Linked DNA regions of Callithrix jacchus. The protein of the gene in region 3 purifies or fractionates together with the protein of the main gene of each other region. This does not show direct contact. Links are inferred from orthologs where the notes say so. Each region holds a gene or a part of one and is shown on either strand. Other genes may lie near its edges. The genes, in order: ECH1, NEURL4, MAPK6, ECI2, CEP170 and UBE3A.

Region 1 (3,956 bases), on a different chromosome or scaffold from region 3:
GATTAGGTGACAAAGATTTTAAATCAGTCATTATGCTCAATGGCAGAAAGAAAAATCTGCATGACAAATAAAAAAATATATAACTGACCAGGCACACTGGATCATGCCCGTAATCCCAGCACTTTGGGAGGACGAGGTGGGCAGATCACTTGAGGCCAGGAGTTCAAGACCAGCCTGGCCAACATGGTGAGACCCTGTCTCTACCAAAAATAGAAAATTTAGTGGGGCATGCTCCCGGGCACCTGTAATCCCAGCTACTTGGGAGGCTGAGGCAGAAGAATCACTTGAATCCACGAGGCAGAGGTTGCAGTGAGCCAAGATCGCTGTTTAAGGTCTCTTAGGCTGACTGACTGCACCATGGACTATGCCATGGTAATCTCTTTAACCTGCACGTACACTCCAGATGAGTTCCTGGAACTGGAAAGTCTGAAGTAGCTGAAAAACCACGAAAAGGTGAAGAATGATCAACCCCTTCGGTGCCTAATTAACTCTGAGATGCTCTAGTATTCCTTATTCCCACCTCAACTGATAAGGCAACTGGACTTTGTGACCGACCCTGGTCAACCTTGTGACTCCAGACCCTACAACCCCCTCCCAGCTCGCAAAAGCCACCCTGAACTGTAACTTCTGTAACTTTCCACCACCCTACCCCAAACCTATAAAAGCAACTCCTAACCCACCATCCTGTGTTGACTCTCTTTGGACTCAGCCCACCCGCACCCGGATGAATAAACAGCCATGTTGCTCACACAAAGCCTGTTTGGGGGAGGGTCTCTTCATTCAGAGTGCACGTTTAACAAACGGGCCACTACCCCGGCAACAAGAGCGAAACTCCGTCTCAAAAAAAAAAAAAAATCACTGGATGTGCTTCACAGGAGGGTAGAGATGGAGGAAGAGTTAGCACCTGTGATCAGTGGAAATTCTCCAATCTGAAGAACAGACCAGTGGGTCAATCCAAAGATCTAACTGACATGTAACTGGAAATCAGTTCGTGAGTTGAATAGTTGCATGAAAGCATGTTATTATATTATATAACATAAACTCTGAGAAGTTAAGCACCTTATTCATGGCCAGAGATCCAGGATGAAACCCAGATTTCAGAGCTATGATCCCGTCATGTTCTGTTGGACTAATTTTTATATTTGAATGTTTTAAATTAGGCCTTTAAAAAAAAATGATAGGGCTGGCTGTGGTGGCACCTGCCTGTAATCCCAGCACTTTGGGAGGCTGAGGTAAGAGGCTTGCTTGAGCCCAGGTATTTGAGGTTACAGTGATTTGTGATTAGGCCATTGTACTCCAGCCTGGGTGAAGGGGCAAGATCCCATTTCAAAAAAAAAAAAAAAAAAAAAAAAGGCGCGGTGGCTCACACCTGTAATTCTAGCACTTTGGGAGGCTTAGGTGAGTGGATCATGAGGTCAGAAGTTCAAGACCAGCCGGCCAAGATGGTGAAACCCCATCTCTACTAAAAATACAAAAATTAGCCAGGCACAGTGGCAGGCACCTGTAATTCCAGCTACTCGGGAGGCTGAGGCAGGAGAACTGCTTGAACCCGGGCGGCAGAGGTTGAAGTAAGCCGAGATCGCGCCACTGTATTCCAGCCTGGGCGATAGAGTGAGACTCTGTCTCAGAAAAAAAAAAACTGATAAGTGTAAGTTAGAAGCTGCTTAAAACCCTAATTAAGAAGCGCTGCCCTACTGTCTATTGCCAGGAGCTAGGAAGGCTGGTAGCGTGGGCATGAAGAGTGGAGAGTCCAGTACCTGCAGTGAACATTTTTCCTGCACCAGAGATCACCACTGCCCGACAGTCAGCGTCTCTTGAAATCTTGTTGAAGCACTCTACCATCTCTCTGTGAAGCAATGAGTAAAGGGCTACAGATGGGGTGGGAAATACCCTGTCCTCATGTCCATCTCCCCTGCCCACATTCCACTCTCCACTCTCGCCCAGTCCCACAGCCCCCACCTCCCCGTGCAGGCAGGCTTCCAAGATCTGCAGGTCGGACCTCCAGAAAGCCCTGTTCATGGCATTCCTCTTGTTGGGCCGATTGAGCTGAACATGCAGAACATGTTTCTGTACAGATGTCACACGAAGGGACTCATAACTGTGGTCTGGGGCTTCACCGTGGGCTACTCCGGAGGCCTCCTGTTGTGCAGAGGAGCCAGTGAGGCGAAGGCTAATACCGAGGCCCGGGTGGTTGGAGGCTGTCAGTCCTGGGGAGAAAGGGAGAGCTTTTGATGACCCTGGACTGCAAGACACGGGTCTATAGAATTAGGGAGCCCTGGCCTGGTGCGGTGGCCTGTAATCCCAGCACTTTGGGAGGCTGAAGCGGGCGGATCATGAGGTCAGGAGCTGGAGATCAGCCTGACCAACATGATGAAACCCCATCTCTACTAAAAATACAAAAAATTAGCTGGGCGTGGTGTTGCATGCCTGTAATCCCAGCTACCTGGGAGGCTGAGGCAGGAGAATCGCTTGAACCCGAAAGGCAGAGGTTGCAGTGAGCCCAGATTGTGCCTGTGCACTCCAGCCTGGGCAACAAGAGCAAAATTAAGTCTCAAAAAAAAAAAAAAAAAAAAAAAAAAGAATTAAGGAGCCCTTCAGAAGGGAGCACAGGGATCCCTGAGTTTAGGGGGCTTGGGCCCTTTGTGACCCGGGATAGACCTCCCCGTCCTACAGCTGCTATGACAGCACGACAGCGCGATGGACCCCCACAAGTCAAAAGGTGACTCACGCCGGGTCAGCAAGTCGCGGAGTCTGCGAGAAGCCACCATTCCTGCCGCCATCGCTCCTGCCATCGTCTACTGAATATTCTGACCCACAAACCCCCGCGTTAGCCGAGGGGGCGGGCACAAAAGGCCGCCATGTTGAGCGAGGGCGTCGATGCCACAGCATGACAAGCAATGACGCCGTTTGTACCGCCATCTTTACTAAGGGCAGCCGAGTTCCGGTTGCCTGGCACAATTACAGCCAGACTCAGAAACTGCCCTTTGCCCCAGTGGGAACCTGGACTAAGCAAATAGTTCCCGCTGACGTTCAACACAGTGCTGTTTCATAATGATGGAATAACTCGTGACAGCTGAAAAGTTCAAGGACATAATGGCAGCAGCGCTTGTAATCATGCATGTATATATCAAGTAAACTAAAAAGAAAAAAAACTTGCAGGACTGTGAGTTTACCCACGTAAAGGAATGAGTACAGATGGGCCAACATTAAGCGCTGACTGTATAATATGAACTCCCACGAGATCATACTATTTCCCACTGTATGCAGAGGAAACTGGCCCAGGCACCGCAACGCACTAGGTTCAAGGTCGCTGGGCTTCAGAAAGGCTAAAGCATGATTACCTGGCTCCAGAGTTCATGTTCTTAGCCGGGAGTGGTGGCTCACACCTGTAATCCCAGCACTTTGGGAGGCTGAGGCGGGTGGATTATGTGAGGTCAGGAGTTTGAGACTAGCCTGGTGAACATGGTGAAACACTGTCTCTATTAAAAATACAAAAATTAACCAGGCCTGGTGGCGCACATCTGTAGTCCCAGCTACTTGGAAGGCTAAGGCAAGAGAATCACTTGAACCTGGGAGGCAGAGGTTGCAGTGAGCCGAGATTGCTCCAGTGCACTCCAACCTGGGCAACAGAGCAACACTCTGTCTCAAAAAAAAAAAAAAAAAAAAAAAAAAATTCCTGTTCTTAAAAAACACAAAATGGAACTCCCTTAGGAAAAGCCAGTTACCCAAGGGCATAAAACAGTACTGTAAAACTGCTTAAGTATGCTCCTTAGGGAGACACGGAGCAAGGTGGTGAACACATGTCTCTGGGCCAATGGGACTGAAGGAAGTATCTTTTCTTTCTAATGAACCTGTCTCCTGTCTGGTTTCACAGACTAGAGAAACAGGCTCTTTTGGAAGACAGAACTATTAACTACCCATCAACAGCAGACTGTTTATATCATGGAAAACTCTGA
Region 2 (4,085 bases), on a different chromosome or scaffold from region 3:
ACCCTCCTAGCATCAAGGGCCAAGCCCCATCTTTAGCTCCCAGGGACAAGGCGACAACCAGACCACAGGACTTTGCACACCTCAAACATCTCATTGTCCCGAAGTGGGCGGTTGGTCATGACAACCCCATTGTTGAATTCATCCAGGGGCCGCCTGCGCTCAGCTGTTTTATTATTGTTGCTGAGTTTGATGAGGGTCCCACACTTTTCATGAAATAGCAGGGCATCGTTGGAAGTGAGAATGGGAGAGGTGGCAGCACCGCTAGACCCCAGGCCTTCCCCTGCCGGTGGGGAGCTCAGGTTCACATTCAGGAGCCCTCCACTGTAGGCAGACAGGATGGTGTTGCTCACCACCTCGGACAGCTCCATGCTGGCGAAGTCTATAGCAGCAGGATGGAAGAAGAAAGCTGGGATGAGGCTCTATGCCCCCAGGCTTGGTGCCTCTCTCTGTACCCCTTCTTCTGAGGGCCTTCCCTTGTCCACTTCACTTCCCACTCCCCTTCCCTGGGCCTCCCCAAAGCCCTCACCATTATGCGACTCAAGGCTGTTAGGAAACGTCTCCGGCCGGGCCTGCGCTGGGGACACCATGAAGGCTGGGGACCAGGTAGGATGGGAGGGGAATAAGGGTTCAGTCCCTAATTCAGGGCCCACAGCCAGGAGACCCCCCATCTTCTAGCTCCCGCTCTCCCATTCAACAGACTTGGGGATCAGAATGGCCCTGCCCACACCCAGCCTGTCTTGTCACTGTTATTTCCCCCATTCCATCCCCACCCCGCCACCACTGCCCTAGCTCTTTTCTTACCTTCATCAGCAGAGGTCCCCTGTTCAGCCAAGGCAGAGTCTTCAAGGGGGGCCAAGGGCTCGAGGGGAGGTGTGGGGATGGGAGTAGGGGGGCTGAAGCCTGGCTCAGAGGGTAGCACAGTGATCTGGGTGCACTTGCCATAAAGGTCCACGACAGCCCAGACACGAGGGGGCAGGCCTGTGGCAGCCACTCCACAATCCCGCCCATTCACCCAGAGCCGCAGCTCCCCAGCAGCTGTGCGCTCCACGCCCACACGGTCCCCTTCGCCAAGCTGGTCCAGGTCCTGACCATACTCCTCCAACACAGAGCGTCCATCTCTCAGCACAGAGCAGCCTGACACTACCCATGAGCCCCCCTTCAGCCCTGTGGCACTGCTTGGAAAGTCCAGCACACTGGGATCCAGCGCTGTCACCCCAATCTCAATGGAGCCACTCCAGGAGTTGACCTGGGATAGGGGTAGTGGACAGAGGCTTAAAATGGGCCACCCCTTATTCCACAGACTACCATATCTTCCCACCTCTCAGATAGCTAACTGGCTTTCTCTTGGAACACTAATCCAGAGATGCAAATAGTAATTTTCTGGACTCTGGCTTGGTAATTATTTGGGCTTTCTTTCCTTTAGCAACTCTGCTTTCTACTCAGTGTTTACCGCACCACTCCTTTCCAAGCCAAACAAGCGTTCCTTAGTTCTAGCCTCCTGTCTCCTCTGACTTCCCTGGTCTCTATGGCTCTCCAACCATCCAAATTCACCAACTTCCTATACCCACACCTCTTGCTCTTGTGTATCATTCCCTTCCCTTGGCCTAATTCTCTCCAAGGATCAGGCTCTACCCAGATTCAGCCTTCTCCCAAGTTCTTTTTCTGTGAGTGTAGCCTCTTCAGTGAATCACACACACCTCCCTCACCCTGGATAGTTCTCCTCACCTCTTTCTGGCACAGCCTGTGAGTTTGTCCTTCAATGGTTTGTTATTGCTGGGTTTTTTTTGTTGTTGTTGTTTTTGTTTTTTTGGTTTTTTTTGAGACAGAGTCTCACTCATTCTGTTGCCCAGGCTGGAGTGCAGTGGCACGATCTCGGCTCACTGCAACCTCCGCCTCCCAAGTTCAAACCATTCTCCCGCCTCAGACTCCAGAGTAGCTGGGATTACAGGGGCACGCCACCACGCATGGCTAATTTTTGTATTTTTAGTAGAGACGGGGTTGTTTCATCACATTTACTAGGCTGGTCTTGAATCCCTGACCTCAAGTGATCTGACCACCTCAGACTCCCAAAGGGCTGGGATTAGGTTTGTTCGTTCCTTGGTATCTCTCTTCTCTTGCCATCGCATCTCTGACATCTCTCCATCCTCCACGCCCAAGAAATTGTACCAGGAGGTCTAGTCCCAGCCAGTCTAGCGACTTAGCCCTTGTGTCCCTTCTTTGCTTCTGGATCTTGAGAAAACTCAAGCTCTTAATGTCTTCTCCTTCAAACTGAATGTTTCTGATTCATGCTGTCTTCCTGCCCGTCCCCTGGTGCTCTATCACCTTTCGGTTCCCTCGGTGCCCGGCGATGTGAGCTACCCAGGCTGTCCTACCCCGTCTCCCTCTAGTCCCCTCCCACCGCCCTCCACATCTCGGTTCCGCGAACCCAGCGCTGCACCTTGCGGTCGATGCGGACGGTGAAGACGCGTCCATCGCGCAAGGGTTCTCGGCTCAACACCAGCCCGTGGTTAAACTCCTGGCCCGGCTGCTGCCGCCGCGCTGTACGCCCACAGGCCGACAGGCTCACCAAGCGCCCAGTACGCGGATGTAGCTCCCCGCCGCTACTGAGAACCCCGCTGGACCCCGGTCCTGAGCTGCTTCCGCTGGGGCCCCCACCCCCGCCCGGCACCGGTCCGGGGCCTCCCCCAGAGCCCCCACTCCCACCCGACCCCGCCGCCATCTCCGCTGACACCGGGGCAGCGCGACAGCCGCGCTTGGCGGCACCGTGGCAACCGCGGCGGGCAGACACCCTGAGGAATACGACCGGGGGCTGAGGCCAGGTATGCTTTACGGCACTGCTGGGCAATGAAGCAGCCCGAGCTAGGAGCTGGGGACGACCACGGTGAGAACCGAAGGACAACGAGGTCGGGAGGCTCACTTTACGGCATAGCGGGGTGACGGAGTGGCTCCGAGAGGGACGAAGACTTGGGAAGGGAGCTTTTGCGACAGTGGAAGACACGCCCACCGCAAGCATCTTTACGACGGTGGGGTGCTGGAGTCTAAACACTTTCTGCTTTGCGACAGCGGTACCGACAACTCCGCCCTGGCTTGGGGGAGGAGACACCTTGAAGCACTCGCTTTACGGCAAGAGGGGGGAGTGAGTCCCTTCTGGCTGCACGCTCCGAAACAGCTTGAGCCGAGTCTGGAGGACCCCGGGAAGTGGTAGTGAAAGTCTATGCCCGCAAGGTCACTGAGATCAACGTGTCTTGCGACAGTGCCGCAATCCCTCTACTTTGCCTCACAACTCTCCGGAGAGACCGAGCGAGCCGACTGGCGGGGCTGGGGGAAGCTCGCTGATATTTCAAGTCAAGCTCAGCCTCAACTCCAACTCAACCAAACTAGTCGATGTTAAGGCCAAAAATAGTCTAAAGAATCCTGACAGGCAGTTTCGAGCAACGGCGCTGAGGACCCCAAAAAAATCTCCCCTAGGGCCATTAAGCCCCCAGCCCAACTCCCCGACGCTCACCCTCAGGCTGAAGGACCGTGACGTCACAATCGAGCTTCTCGCCCCCTGGCCTGGCCCCCTGACTGGGATTGGCTGATTTGGATGAGGGTGGTGATGGAGAAGGGCGGGAACAAATCGCACAAAGGAAGAGTCTTTAGGTGGAACAAAGGAAAGGGGCGAGTGGAGGGACTTCCAGCCCGAGTCTCGATTCCACCCGCCGCGGCTCGGGAGCAGAGGAGAAGGGGACCCGGCACTCTGCCGGAGCACCCCTGGCCGGCCCTACGTGGGGGCGGGGCTAGGGGCGCGGCTAGTGGAGCCGGGAGGCGGGGCGGGATCGCTGAGAGCGGCCCCCGGGTGGGGCCTCGGAGAAGGTGGAGTCCCTAGGGGCTACTGGCGGCCTCAGCCGGGACTCCCCTGGAGGGGCAGCGGGAGGAGTGCCCCGAGCGGTGAGAGAAATCGAGGCAGGCGCTGGGCAGCCTTCCGGAGTAGTCTTGTTTCACGGTTCTAGGCCCCTAGTGCTCTCAGAAGGCAGTTTAACTCGCAGTACTGGTGCAAGCTGGCGCTCCACGGGGATAGTTGTCCTTGGTTCCGGGCCCAGTCA
Region 3 (3,500 bases):
AAAAGACAAAATTTAACTCTCATACATTGCTGGCGGGAATGTAAAATGGTACAGCTGTGCTGGAAAACTGTTCTTCAAAGATTTACCACGCGACTCAGCAATTCCAATCCTAGGTACATATACCCAAGAGAACTGAAAACATGTTCACACAAAAACTTGCACACAAATATTCACAGCAGCATTATTCATAATTAAGAAAAAGTAGAAACCCACATGTCCATCAACTGATGAATGGATAAACAACACATGGTATATTAATATAGCAGAATACTATTTGCCCATAAAAAGGAAAAAATTACTAACATATGCCACAACATGGGTGAACCTACAAAATACTGCTACATGAAAGAAGCCTGTCACAAAGTCCAAATGTTATATGAAACATTCAGAGCAGGCAAATCCGCAGAGACATAAAGTAGATTAGTGGTTGTCAGGAGCTGGGGAAAAGGGGAAATGAGAAGTGTCTGCTAATGGTTGCAGGATCTTTTAGGAGCAAAGACAGTGTTCCAAAATTAGACTCTGGTGATGGTTACACAACTCTGTAAATACACTAAAAAATATAACTGTATACTTTAAAAAGATTTACTGGCTTTCTCCTTGCTTTCTTTTGAATCATTAGTTCTAGAGGAAGTCAGCTGCCATATTATGAAGACACTCAAGCAATCCTATGGAGAAGCTCACATGGTGAGGAACCGAAGCCTCTTGGTAACTGTCATGTAAGTAAGCTATCTAGAAGTGGATCCTCCTGCCTTGGTCAAACCTTCAGGTAACTGCTGCCCTTAACAACAACTTGACTGAGAAAACCTGAGCTAAAACTAAACCACTCCCACATTTTGACAAGCAGAAACTGTTAAGACAATAATAAATGTTTGTTGTTTAAGCTACTAAGTTTTGGAGTAATTTGTCACACCACAACAAATAATACGGAATTATTTGTATATGCTGGAAGGCACTTGATATCAGCAACAAAACCTCCAATCACAGTATTGTTCTTAAGCAAAAAAAAAAAAAAAAAAAAAAAAAATCCATTTAATCATTTAGCTTCCAGGAATCCCTCATATTTTTTCATAGTGATTGAATTTCAATTTAGAAAACTATCACACATCTTAGGAAAAAAAAAATTTCTTTATTTTTTTTCTTGAGACAGAGTCTTGCTCTGTTGCCCAGGCTGGAGTGCAGGGGTGTGATCTCGGCTCACTGCAAACTCAGCTTCCCGGATTCAAGAGATTTTCCTGCCTCAGCCTCCCAAGTAGCTGGGATTACAGGCACACGCCACCAAGCCTGGCTAATTTTTGTATTTTTAGTAGAGATGGACCTTCACTATGTTGGCCAGGCTGGTCTTGAACTCCTGACCTTGTGATCCGCCCACCTTGGCCTCCCAAAGTGCTGGGATTACAGGCATGAGCCACCACGCCAAGCAATTTTTTTTTTTAAAACAGTGTCATTCTCTGTTGCTCAGGCTGACTGCAATGGTGTGATCCTGGCTCACTGCAGCCTCAGACTCCCCAGTAGCTGGGATAAAGGCGTTAGCCACCACGCCCAGCTAATTTTATTTTTAGTAGAGATGAGGTTTTACTATGTTGGCCAGGCTGGTCTTGAACTCCTGACCTCCAGTGATCCACCCACCTCAGCCTCCCAAAAGTGCTGGGATGTATGAGCCACCACATGCACCCAAGCCAGAAATTTTACATAAATATAAAAAAAAAATTATAAAGGACTGGTCAATGTTATATAAACTAAGTACTGGCATTAATATACTTAAAAGACATTTATGCATGCTGTCCTTTCTTAACCAGTGCTCTCCTATGTACACTAATCTTTCGTATGTAAATAGACCCTGGCCTATTCCTCTCCTTCTGCTCTTGCCACAGTCCAGGAGTTGGCGGGGGAGGGCCACTCTAAAAATTGTTATAGTGGGGAAAAAAGTAGTGTCAAGGCCAGGCGCAGTGGCTCACCCCTGTAATCCCAGTACTTTGGGAGGCCAAGGCAGGCAGATCATGAGGTTAGGAGTTCAAGACCAACTTGGCCATCATGGTGAAACCCCATCTCTACTAAAAATACAGAAAATTAGCCAGGCATGCCAGTGCACACCTGTAATCCCAGCTACTCAGGAGGCTGGGGCAGAAGAACTGCTTGATCCTGAGAGACGGAGGTTGCAGTGAGCCGGGATCTTGCCACTGCACTCCAGCCAAGGCAACAGAGCGAGACTCCATCTCAAAACAAAATAAAACAAAAAAATAATGTCAAAAGACAGAAAAAGGCCTAAATCACTACCACATCACTTCCCCAACTAAAAAAATTTTCAGAACCCTTTTTTTTTTTTTTTTACTTTTCCAAATGGAAAGTCCTCTACCTACTTTCTAAAATACTTTCTAGTATTCGGACCCCATCTTAACTAGTCATAAATATGTTTATTGTTATTTGACAACGTGCATGAATCTCAGATTCATGAATGCCCTAGGCTTATGCTTTTATTTATATGGGTACCCTTAAATAACACATTTTCTCTCTTCCCCAGTTAAAATTCCTCGCTATTTCTAAATAGTGAAAAATCTTTTGGACTCCATAATACCTTCCATTCTAGCAATCACTGATGCATAGCTTCTCTAAGTTTATAGCTCTAGTCTATATTAAATAATTTTATACAGACACATGCTTTGCTTTATGACAAGACATTTTTCATGGATGATTTATCTCATCTTGACAAAGTTCTCTCTCACATACTTCTTTACACTTCTAAATAGCACCAAACTTAAAAAATTACTTGTTTATTTATAGAGGGAGGGGACCAAGAAACATTTGTTGGATTTTCAACAATAGCTTAAAATTTTCACCAGGAAGTGACCACACTGACAGAATTATGCAACTCAAATATCAACACAAATTACCAACAAGTATTATGGGTCCACAACATATGAAATTATATCTGAACACTAGAGTTCTGATAATTTATCAAGTGACCAATTTAGCAAATATGTGAATAAGTTTTCTCAATTTTTTAAATAAAAACACCAATTTATCTGTTCATTTTAGTATTCTAGATCACAACAAATTATTTTAAATCTTATGTGGATCTTGCTTCAGAGATAAATGCAAAATTATTTCTCTTTGGGATAACTTTTTTCCCCACAAAATACTAACCTGCAAAAAGGGTTTTACCAGTCAGCATTTCAGCAAAGATGCAGCCTGCTGCCCACATGTCAATGGCTTTCGTGTAATTATTAGGAGAAAGTAAAAGACGTGGAGATCTGTACCATTTAGTAACCAATCCTTCAGAAAGATGACCCTACAAAAGAAACAAACATAACATACATACCTTTTTTTTACTTTACCTAAAGAATAGCACTTAAAACTTTAACCCTAGCATTTTGGAAAGCTGAGGTGGGTGGATTGCTTGAGACCTGGAGTTTGAGACCAGCCTGGGCAACATGGGGAAACCTATCTCTACTAAAAATACAAAAATTAGCCTGGCATGGTAGTGCATGCCTAGCATCCCAGCT
Region 4 (4,284 bases), on a different chromosome or scaffold from region 3:
TTTTTAGGACAGACAGAGCTTCACCATGTTGGCCAGGCTGGTCTCGAACTCTTGACCTCAAGGGATCAACCCGACTCAGCCTCCCAAATGCTGGAATTAGGTGTGAGCCACCACACCTGGCCTCATCTATCCCTTTCTTTCTTTTTGTGCTTAGAGAACTTCAACTATCCATGCTGTTTCACCTCTATATCCTTAGTACCCATTTCTTAAAAATATCAACATTTATGTAACCTTGACACCATTAACAATGATTTCTAAGCATCTTCTAATACTCTGTCCTTATTCAAAACTTCCCCAATTGTCTTAAAAATATCTTTTTCAATTGGTTTATTCCAATTAAGAGCCAAATAAGGTCTACAAATTTGAATATTATATTTCGTAAGTCTCTTTTACTCTGGCATGACACAGAGGGGTTACTTTATTAATAGTATTTCAAGGTAATATTAAAAAATGACACACACACATATATATATATACTCTTAAGAGGGAGCAAGACAAACCCAAAATATTAAGGCTACATTTTAGTAAACACACAGTGTATCTATTTAAGGAGTCATTTGCCCAACATTCTTTAAATAATGTCAGACAGTTGGCATTTACCTGCTTATACAGTGCGTAGAGTTTTAGCTTCACTTCGTTTCCTGGATCCTTCTTCAAGAGTTTCACTTGATTCACTGCATTTTCAAAGTCCTTCTGACTGGCTCTCATTGCTGTTCTATTCATGTGCAGCTGAACTACTGGGAAACTAACAACCTGCAGATGACTACAATGAGGCAGACTGATGTCTACTTGTTCCCAACCCTCACATTTCTGCAGCCTGATTTCTAATTGTTCCCAGCCCATACATAGCAAAATCCCATGTTTGTCCATAAATATTTTCTTTATACTTGCCCTAGCAAACTGGCTGCAAATAATTGGCTGTAAGGATTTCAAGATAAGAAATCAATACAGAAGCTCATGGTAAATAAAATAAATAAATAAAGGGAAAAGTAACCATCCAGTGAGGTATTTGTAAGCAATTAAAGATAAAAGCAGCCAAAACAGGAATGACTATGTAAATTTTGCCATAGGCAAGAAGTAAATGAAAAGCATGCAAGATAGTGAACAGCAGGAGACCAAAGGCTAAGTGCACAGAATTTAGTGCAGTGTCCCAAAGTCCTAAAACAGCTTCTGCACTCACTGCTAAACAACCCATAAACTAATATCAGGTCAATTTTTCCCTCTTTGCTGGCAAAACCGGTGATCCAACATATACACAGGTGATAGGAGGGGAGAATGGCTGAACATACAAGAAATGTTCAAAAGGACATTATGTACAGATGATGGCATTCCAGACAGAGCCACAGCCTTCTCAGCAGGTGGGAGGGAATCTATCTGCAGCGCAAGGGAGTCAGTGAAGCGGGCTCAGCAGGCTTGTCCCTTTCTATGGGGCTGTTTAGCCAGCCAGCCAGGAGCAGAGCAGAAACAGCAAGCACCGCGGGGTGATCAGCACGTTTTTAAGCATACACAGTGAACAGGGGTGGGGTGGCAAACTTCAAAGGACTCAGGCCACAAGCAAAACATGAATGTTCACGACGATGACCCTGAATAAGGAAGTTAATGGCATCAAAGATGATTAAAATAATACAGGTTACAAAGCTCAAACCTAACATGTATCACCCCCCAAACACAATTATGTAACTAGAAAATGGTACAATGAACTCTAGGTTCAAACCTTGGACTTAGTAATTGATTCAGTAAGATCAGTCTACAGTAAGTTTTTTTTTTTTTTTCTTTATTTTTTAAAGACGGGGTTTCACCATGTTGGTCAGGCTGGTCTTGAACTCCCGACCTCAGGTGATCCGCCCGCCTTGGCCTCCAAAGTGCTTGGATTACAGGCGTGAGCCACCACGCCCGGCCTACAGTAAGTTTTATATTAAATTGCTTTTCTGTAAAGGGAAAAACTGCAACTTACATGACAAATTCCAAGCAGAAAACGAAAGAAAAATTTAAAGTGTCCACAGAAAGCCGAAATGTGCGTTTCCACAAAATGTGGAACAAATTTATTTTTAAATAATGCGTGAGTTTTAAAAACAAATTGCAAAAACACGACCATATAGGAAAATACCTAAGGTCTGGAAAATCACTCATAATTCCACCACTTCAAGGTCACCATCATGTTCCGGTTTTGTTCCCTATACACGGATTCGGGCTGGGTTCCCCGCATCCCAGGGAGGTGGAGCGCGCTTCCTAGCCGTCGCCGCGCACACGGCCACTTCGCTTCACTGCATACGTGTTCTCCAAAAAGCAAAGAGCGTTAAGTCCACACGAGTGATAACTGCTTACGTTTACCTCACTTTTAGCAAGCAACGCTTTGCACCCCAGAAGCATCCCGGCTGGGAAGTGCAGGCCCGGCCGCCGGAAGAAGCACCGTGCCCAGCGGGGGCGGCTCCAGGGCCCGGAGTCCGGCCCCAGGAGGATGGGAGCACTGCGCGGCCGCCGGCGGAGACCTCGGGGACTGGGAACAGAGAGCCGCAGCCCTGATCTCACGACGCGTCCATCCTGACCACTCTGGGCCCAGCGGTGCAGGAGGGCGCGCGCGTTAGGTGGTCACTCCAGCGAACTCTCGCTGGAAAACCAGCAAAACAAAATTCTGTAGCCACCCAGACAAGATAACGGCGGGGGGGCGCTCCCACCGGCGGCGACCTTCGCCTGGACAGCCGTCTCCTGTGGGCGACCTTGGGCAGGGCGGCCGGGGCTCCAGGCTTACCTCGGACACGAACGCTGCGCCAGTCTCCAGGCCGGGTTTGCCATATCTAGCCCCGACCTTGGGCGTCCGGGGCTCTAAGGCGGCGGGGTTCGGGGGCGGGGCCGGGGCTCTGGGACTGCCGAGGCTCGGGGGTGGGGAAGGGCGGAGAACGACCAGGGCTGGGGGCGGGGTCAGGCTGAAAGTGAAGCCGGAACCCGAGGCGGGGCGTGGGCGGGACCGGGGCTCTAGGCAGTTAGGAGGCGGGGCTGAGATGCGGGGGCGGGGGCGGGGCCGGAGTTGGGTGCGGGGAGCGGGGCCGGGTATTCCCGGAGTGGAAGAAGGGCGTGGGGCGCGGGGACGTTGACCCGGGAAGGACCTCAGCGGCGCGTGGGGCAGGGCACAAATGCTTCCGGGCCTGGCTCCAAGAATCTGCGACCTGGGGCCCGGCTGCTCCCTCCGGCGGACCTCAGCTCTGAGAACTCTGCGGCTGCCGGAGCTCGGAGCCCCCTGCCCGGGGCCCTGGGGAGCCTGGCGAGGAGGGGTCGCTGCGTCCCGAGGGCCAGCCGTGAGCCGGGAGGCGGGATAGCAATTGAGGGCGTGTGCTTAAAAGCGGCTATGTCATGCACCCCCAAATCGAAGGCCTGCAGACCTGGTAGGACGCCGGAGGATCAGAAGTGATTTGTGAGGTATCCAACTCTTTAGTGTCAGAGTTTGGATATTTTTGAGTTGTGCTGAGGCATTTGCAAAGTATTTTCTTTGGGGAAGAATTCTTAAAAGTTGGAAGGGCCTTGGCTGTGCCACCTTGTCCAGTTCCCAGAGAATCAAACAACAAAACAAAACCACCCCTCTAAATCCGGTGCCCCAGGTGTGCTATTCAAGCATGCCTAGGCGTTTTAGATTTATGTAGCTGACACTTGTGGACTACCTATAGTGAGCCAGGCTAATTGTAATTCTTTCAACAACACTGTAAGGAAAATGATATTGCCCTGTTGAGCATATTGCCCTGTTGAACTGATGTGGAAACAGACCCAGAAAGATTAATCCGGTGACTTGCCCAAAGGCATGACACTTGCAGGTGGGCATGTTGCAGGATGAGCCGGTGACAGAGCTCTTCAGACACGCGAGTAAGGAAGGAAGAGCTAGCTGTGGAGCATTGGTGGACTCGAGTCCAGAAACAGAGCTCCCCGAAAAGCAGTTTTTTTCTCTTTTTAAAGGCATACAACCCAAGGGGGGAGCAAAGGTAAAACTGTCATTGCCTATTGGCTGGACATCTGACCTTACAGTCGTTGGCCTTCATTGATTTGCTAATTTACATGTGGAAGGGAAAAGAGAAAGAATTACAGAAGTTAAACAAAGGCAGTAAGTCACTCGGGTGACAGAGGTATTTCTAAGGGTTGGGTCTAGATTGTACAAACGTGGTCTACGTGCCTCAGAGCAGGTCCTTGGGCTGCAGGAAAAACATTATTTTGCAACATTTTCAAGGCTGATAAATAACATAGGCACCAGTTACAGAGAGGGGAGTTATTTTCTCAGCCCTTGGTCCCCACTGTGGTTGG
Region 5 (3,500 bases), on a different chromosome or scaffold from region 3:
ACTGTACTAGGTAGGATATCAGTATTATTTATCCGATTCATATAAAGAGCCTATTTGTGAGTGTTAACCTATATACATATAAATTATATAAATATAAATAAAATGTCTCAGTTATGTATTTTCCAGAAGGTCACAATCATGTCTCAAAAATACATATGCCAGGTAATTGCTGATAATTATAATTAAATATTATAATAGGCTCCAATCCAAATAATTATTAGGTAATCACATCATCTCACAGTCCTGAAATGTCTTAGAAGCAAATCAGAAATAAGTATACGAATACTATTTCTTCATTACTTGTTCGAATGCCAGGGCATAAGGTATAGATTAAATCAAGCCTAGTCTTGTCACTGACAGAGAAGTTACCCATTGTTTATTCAAATGAGTACCTATCACCTGCTTGAGTACCAGATAAAGTATCAGGAGCACAAAAACTCCTAATATAGTGACAGAATGGTCAGATAAACATATAATCACAATTTGTTCAAAGTCATTTTCCTTATAGAAAGCTTGTTAAATTAAAATAAGATAGAGTAACATAAATGTATATTCAGTAATTCTAAAATAAATTCAATTGGTAAAAACAATGAGAAAAAAACCTGATCAGCTGATACATAAATGTACAAACATACAAATTTTGCTAATTTTGGCCAAGTTCTACACAAATAAAGTATATATAACTATTTCAAAAATAAACATTCAACTCTAATTTTCCTTAAGTCTGAATATTAAAAATTTTTAAACTGGATTAATAGATCCTACCAAATATTTCTAAACCAAAAATCTCTGTTTTATGAGTAGCCACTGAGAATACTTTAAAGCACTTCATCCATGATTTGACTGTATTACCCAAGCGGAACTTTTGGCTCACACCGAATGGCTTAAAATTTCTTTCAAAATCTAGAAATTGATCATAATAGAGAACAGAATTGAATACATATTTTCCTTAAATCAAGAAAATGATGGAACTCGTCTTCTAGAAAATTCTACTGGTGAACTTAATAAATTATATATGTCCAGGAAGAAAAAGAAACATATTTTACAGCATAAATATAAGCTCATAAATCCAATCTGGTTTTGTCAAAGAAATGAAGAAAGACAATTTTGAATGAGGAAGTGGGACATGAGCAGTGTGGCTTCATGTTGAGTTTTAAAATTAAATATAACCTTTGAAAAAAGCAGAACGTTTTCTACCATGTAATTCTCTAAAAGTAGCATAGTAACTGAAGACTAGATTTCCTTTATCACAAAACAGGAAGTTCTGAATGATCAAATCACTTTACCTTTCAACCTTTTCAAGTACACTGGAACATCACTTTTAATGCTTTTAGAATCCTCTTCTGTTCTTTCCCAAACCATTTGAGGAGGGTTGTTTTGTGCTAGCCAGTCAGCGACTTTGTTTTCTGGTGCCATCATTCCTGTTTGAATCCCCAGCAAGTCTTGAGTTCCAGGAGAAGACTTCTTGGACTTGTGGCGTTGATCAGAAGTAAATTTTGTCACATGGTCTCTAATAGTTACCTTCCCTGGGGTACTGTCATCAAATTCAATTGTAAATGAAGCATGCCCTGCACCTGTTATATGGGAACTTGGTGTGTCTTTTGTTGGGATTTCATGAATAGTGCTCTCTGTTATTTGTGATGGTTGCTGGAATTCTTTGGTAGGGATTTCAAAATAACTTGGTTCCCTACAGAAAGGAAAAAGTACTTCTTCATTTGCGGCTGCAGATTGTTCCTCAACTTGCTTGGCATCTATGCTGCACCCTAATGAGAAAAATAAGAGAAAATTCAAAATATTTGATTGCTTCTGGTACTTGAAGGAGTCTGGTAATGGCCATGTGTACTACTCCGTGAGAACCAGATGGCAGATCATAGTCTGGATGACCCAGTGGCATTTATATCACAGAAAAAGTGTCACAGAGCAGAAAGAATCTTCGTTAAAAACATGCTATTTGATTACCAATAGGGGATGCAAGATAAGCAGTAGTAATGGCAAATGAGAACAAAGCAGTTAAGAAATGGATCTTCTGTGGCTAGGTCCATATTTTTTCCAACTCAGATCTAGAATTCATCAAGGTGCAAAAGAATTAAAATTAAATGCAGATGGAGATGCATGTTCAATGTATACATAAAAAGTGACAGAAAAACCATGAACTTCCTTCTCAAGTCACCAAGATGAGATATCTGAAATATATATGAACACATGTAGTGCTCCAAAGGAGAACAGGTGCTCAATTGAGAATACAAACATAAAGTAAATACGTGAGTGATCTTCAGGAAATAATGATTCCACTTACCATTCTTCATCATTACATTCAGAAACATGACTTTTAGAATGACAAAGAAGTTGCCAAGTGTGATCCTTGCAAGAAGATACCAACATTTTATAAAGACTGAAATGTGTGGTTTGCAATCCAAGCAGCAGTGTTAAAGAAATAAGGTTAAAACAGAAAATTCAGTTTCCAGACAATAACTCTGGAAGAAAATCAATTTGCATTTCTATGCAGCAGAATGTGCGCAAGTGTCAAAAATCCTTGGAGGAAAGCTGAACTGTAAACCTCAGATTAACATGAGTTGACAGAAGGAGCAGGCAACTCTGAAACACTATCACTATTCTTCTATTGCCTCAGAATCTAATATAAAAGTATAAAAATAGATGCATTTACGAATAAAATACATAAATGGAAATGGTAACTAAAATGTTTTCAGTATGTTATTAGATAGCGTAAATGCAAAAGAAAAAAAATTAAAGATGATATTGTGCTGTTGTTGAAGAAGCAAAAGAAGCATGTCCATTATCAAGATGAAGAGAAAGTTCAAATGAGATTTATTTCCCTAAAGGTCAAGAATCCATTCTGCTTTTAAACAGATTGACAGAAAAATCATTTACAGACAACTTATTAGGAAAACAAGGCAGTACACAGAGACAAGGTTGTTTCCAAACATTTTCTAATTTAGTGAAGCATCTGGTCTTTTGAAACATCTTTATAAAGATTAAATCTTAGTGGGATCTGTCAGGTACTATAATTGGTTTCTTGACAGTAGTCTGAATATAATAAAAAAATCTTGACTGCTTTTAGGTTACAGAAGAATGCTACAATAACTTCCCTGTAGTAATCAAATGTGTGGGATAGGGCACTGAAGACGTGAAGCCCCATTTTCACAATAAAGATAATAACAAGAATTGTAAAAAGAAATCTAAACAGGAGGCAAAGATAACAAGTAATATTAAAGAATATATTATAATTTTCACTGTAAAAAATTATCCCTTTCAAAATCTACTCAGTTTTCCTTATCACTGAAAATGAAAGAATAGTATTGGAAAAACTCTACATTATCATAGAAATAATTATACATTTATACAACATGAACTAAAGTTTTAAAAAAATGTTTGATTAAAGAGTTATCTTTTTTCTTAAAAATAAAATGTTCACCTGGACTTTGAGTGTTTACTCTTAAGTCATGTCAGTTAAAATTTCCATTAGAATAAAATGTATTAAC
Region 6 (3,034 bases), on a different chromosome or scaffold from region 3:
ATTTTCTTAACTGTTTAATATGATTTGGAGATTTGTATATAAAATCACGAATGTGCTTAGAAGCTACAAAGACAGTTCATACATGTATGACGGGGAATGGAAGGTTTTCAGTGGATATATAGTCACAACTTAATAATTACCTTTCCGTGTCTGGGCCATTTTTGGCTATAATCATCTTTAATTTTCCTAGTCCTCCCACAGGTGCTCTGTCTGTGCCTGTGGTAAACTGCAAGAAGAGTCTTTTCTGTTCATCTGTAAATGAATGAACGATTTCCCAGAACTCCCTAATGAGAAAAGATACAATACTGGTTTCAGCTTGGCATTCATTATAACTGGTACTAATATAAACTTATGATTTAAACTAAAACTATATTAAGAGGCAACTTGGAAGTTAATATCAGGAACTCTTCTGGTGACTGAGAATTTCCAAACAAATTTTCCGTAAACAGTTCTGAATACATAACAATTTAGGATTAAAGTAATGCAGCAAAATATTAGTACTGCAGTAGTAAAAAAAAAACTGAGAAAACCCAAGTGTGTAACAACAGGAAGTGACTATGTAAACTATGTTGTAATCACTTCACGTGGTCAGTAATGAACAAAAGACCAAATCCTATGAATTGAAAAAGACTGAAAGGAATATTGTGAAAAATTCCAGGTGCCTTTGGGTATATATTTTATTTATCCTTTCTCTTTTATTCTCCTGGTCTACTCATCCTTTAACGCAACTTTGGGAGGAAAAAGTGGTGATACAGATTAAGGACAAAAGAAAAAGCGCCCCGCCCCCCAAACCCACCTGGCGCCAAATTCAAACCACCACATACCTAATGGCAGTAATACAACAGTTCAATTTTTATATAAACTAGAATACTTTTATCAACTAACATGTGCTGTGTACGGAGGAGAATTATTCTGACATTTCTCCCATATAATATAAAATAATATAATATATAATAATGCAGTTATTATAAGAGAATGATTTATCCCTGTGGCATTCCTAAAATCTGCGTAATAAAGCCATGTTTAAATGACACTTAATGTTACAGTTCTAAAATGTGAAATGCAAGCTCATGAAGTGCTATCTTGAAGTCTGTTTGAATAATCAGGCATCTATAAAATATACAGTAGTTCATAGCTAAATAATTTTAAGATTCAACGAAAGTATTTTTAGTTGGTTATAAATATAAAATGCCTCTTAATATTTATTTACAAAGCTATTTCCAGAGCCAGGTGCAGTGGCTCACGCCTGTAATCCCAGCACTTTGGGAGGCTGAGGTGGGTGGATCACCTCAGGTGAGGGGTTCAAGACCAGCCTGAAAAACATGGTGAAATACCCTGCCTCTACTAATACAGAAAAATTAGCTGGGTTTGTTGGCTATTTGGGAGGCTGAGGCAGGATAATCACTTGAACTCAGGAGGTGGAGGCTGCAATGAGCTGAGGTCACGCCACTGCACTCCATCCTGGGAAACGAGCAAAACTCCACCCCACTTCCCCACCAAAAAAGAAAAAGTTCTTTCCAGAATGGTTAGCAGAGAACATCACACATCCCAAATCAGTAATTATATATATTTTTTCTAGTTTTTGATACTCTAATATTCCAACATACTATTTTTATTATCAAAATGCTGGCATTTTTGTTGCTACAACACCATTAATCTGAAATAAATTAAAACCTTTATTAGAATTCCTGGCGGCCGGGTGCAGTGGCTGACGCCTGTAATCCCAGCACTTTGGGAGGCCGAGGTGGGTGGATCATGAGGTCAGGAGATCAAGACCATCCTGGTCAACATGGTGAAACCCCATCTCTACTAAAAATACAAAAATTAGCTGGGCATGGTGGCGCGTGCCTGTAATCCCAGCTACTCAGGAGGCTGAGGCAGGAGAATTGCCTGAACCCAGGAGGCGCGGAGGTTGTGGTGAGCTGACATCGCGCCATTGCACTCCAGCCTGGGTAACGAACAAAACTCTGTCTCAAAAAAAACAAAAAAAAAGGCAAGGAGAAAGATCACATCAAATGCAAAGAAACTAAAACTAAAGTAGAAGAAATATAAAAGTGAATAAAGCACAACAATAGTACCATATAAACTGAAGACAGAAGAAACATCTAAAAAAAGAAATGAAGCGATGCCTGAGACTCTCCTTGGGGTAGGAGGAATTCTCATATAATTAATTGGTCTGGCAGTGTTCACTTTTCCTGCAAGTGATCTATAGCCCAGGGACACACAGCAGGCAGGAGCACTGCCAGGAACACCAGGCATGGGAGAGCTTGCCACGATAGGCACAAGGCTCAGGAAGCACTCTCCAGCCCACGAAAATCTAGTGGGGGGTCCCTCTTCCCCCACCCAAACACACTCTACACAGATCAGCTTGGAGAAGCCCCCTCAAGCAGGACCACTCGGAACCAGTGAAAGCCCCAGCGGAGTAACATAAAAGCAACAAACCAAAACAGCACCACAAAGGCTCTGAAAAGGGTCACTGGAACCACAGTCCACAAACATGCGCCAAACCTCAACAGGTTACCACCGAAGTAACAATTTTTAGAAGGACAGTCTCCTCACACATCTGTCATACCAAGAACCAGGAAAATCACACGAAGGAAAGAAAATCAACGCCAACACTGGGATGAGTAAGATGTTGAAATTATCTGACAAGGATCTTAATGCAGCCATCATAGAAATGATTTGACAAGCAATTATAAGTTCTACTGTTTCAAAAATGAAACAATAGAAAATCTCAGCAAAGAAACAGAAGTTATAAGGAAAAAAAAGCCAATGGAAATTATAGACCTAAAAAATACAATAAGCGAAAAATAATCATTAGATGGGCCCAACAGCAGAGAGAAGATGACGAAGGATAGAAATCTGAACAAAAGAGAGAAGACAGAGTGAAAGATGAGCTGTGCCTCAAGTACGTGTGGGACAGTAACAGATGACTCAACATCTGTATTGTCAGAGGCCTACTAGAATGGAGATAAGAATGACACCGAAGGAACATCTGAGGAAGCAATGGTTCAACAAATTTCCCATGTTTAGC

Evidence for each region.
Region 1: the proteins of MAPK6 (region 3) and ECH1 purify together in Homo sapiens (affinity purification with mass spectrometry; 3 studies listed by BioGRID and IntAct, with this or other methods). This does not show direct contact. The link is inferred for Callithrix jacchus from reciprocal best matches to the Homo sapiens genes MAPK6 and ECH1.
Region 2: the proteins of MAPK6 (region 3) and NEURL4 purify together in Homo sapiens (affinity purification with mass spectrometry; 6 studies listed by BioGRID and IntAct, counting the BioPlex papers as one, with this or other methods). This does not show direct contact. The link is inferred for Callithrix jacchus from reciprocal best matches to the Homo sapiens genes MAPK6 and NEURL4.
Region 4: the proteins of MAPK6 (region 3) and ECI2 purify together in Homo sapiens (affinity purification with mass spectrometry; 3 studies listed by BioGRID and IntAct, with this or other methods). This does not show direct contact. The link is inferred for Callithrix jacchus from reciprocal best matches to the Homo sapiens genes MAPK6 and ECI2.
Region 5: the proteins of MAPK6 (region 3) and CEP170 purify together in Homo sapiens (affinity purification with mass spectrometry; 3 studies listed by BioGRID and IntAct, with this or other methods). This does not show direct contact. The link is inferred for Callithrix jacchus from reciprocal best matches to the Homo sapiens genes MAPK6 and CEP170.
Region 6: the proteins of MAPK6 (region 3) and UBE3A purify together in Homo sapiens (affinity purification with mass spectrometry; 3 studies listed by BioGRID and IntAct, with this or other methods). This does not show direct contact. The link is inferred for Callithrix jacchus from reciprocal best matches to the Homo sapiens genes MAPK6 and UBE3A.

What each region holds. Positions count from the first base shown.
Region 1 is NC_133523.1:34,385,852-34,389,807, forward strand, and holds the start of ECH1 (delta(3,5)-Delta(2,4)-dienoyl-CoA isomerase, mitochondrial), read right to left. Parts: upstream 2,801-3,956; 5' UTR 2,793-2,800; coding exon 2,729-2,792; intron 2,208-2,728; coding exon 2,000-2,207; intron 1,847-1,999; coding exon 1,758-1,846; intron 436-1,757; coding exon 397-435; intron 1-396. UniProt on the Homo sapiens protein: Isomerization of 3-trans,5-cis-dienoyl-CoA to 2-trans,4-trans-dienoyl-CoA.
Region 2 is NC_133506.1:73,812,029-73,816,113, forward strand, and holds the start of NEURL4 (neuralized-like protein 4), read right to left. Parts: upstream 2,801-4,085; 5' UTR 2,720-2,800; coding exon 2,438-2,719; exon of another isoform or gene 1,726-2,437; intron 1,247-1,725; coding exon 802-1,246; intron 593-801; coding exon 527-592; intron 380-526; coding exon 81-379; intron 1-80. UniProt on the Homo sapiens protein: Promotes CCP110 ubiquitination and proteasome-dependent degradation. By counteracting accumulation of CP110, maintains normal centriolar homeostasis and preventing formation of ectopic microtubular organizing centers.
Region 3 is NC_133509.1:39,734,697-39,738,196, reverse strand, and holds part of MAPK6 (mitogen-activated protein kinase 6), read right to left. Parts: intron 3,287-3,500; coding exon 3,142-3,286; intron 1-3,141. UniProt on the Homo sapiens protein: Atypical MAPK protein. Phosphorylates microtubule-associated protein 2 (MAP2) and MAPKAPK5.
Region 4 is NC_133505.1:26,392,816-26,397,099, reverse strand, and holds the start of ECI2 (enoyl-CoA delta isomerase 2), read right to left. Parts: upstream 2,801-4,284; 5' UTR 2,794-2,800; coding exon of another isoform or gene 2,750-2,793; intron 2,609-2,749; exon of another isoform or gene 2,332-2,608; intron 2,278-2,331; 5' UTR 2,131-2,277; coding exon 1,955-2,130; intron 764-1,954; coding exon 601-763; intron 1-600. UniProt on the Homo sapiens protein: Able to isomerize both 3-cis and 3-trans double bonds into the 2-trans form in a range of enoyl-CoA species. Has a preference for 3-trans substrates.
Region 5 is NC_133520.1:42,946,952-42,950,451, reverse strand, and holds part of CEP170 (centrosomal protein of 170 kDa), read right to left. Parts: intron 1,764-3,500; coding exon 1,287-1,763; intron 1-1,286.
Region 6 is NC_133507.1:4,598,063-4,601,096, reverse strand, and holds part of UBE3A (ubiquitin-protein ligase E3A), read right to left. Parts: intron 285-3,034; coding exon 141-284; intron 1-140. UniProt on the Homo sapiens protein: E3 ubiquitin-protein ligase which accepts ubiquitin from an E2 ubiquitin-conjugating enzyme in the form of a thioester and transfers it to its substrates.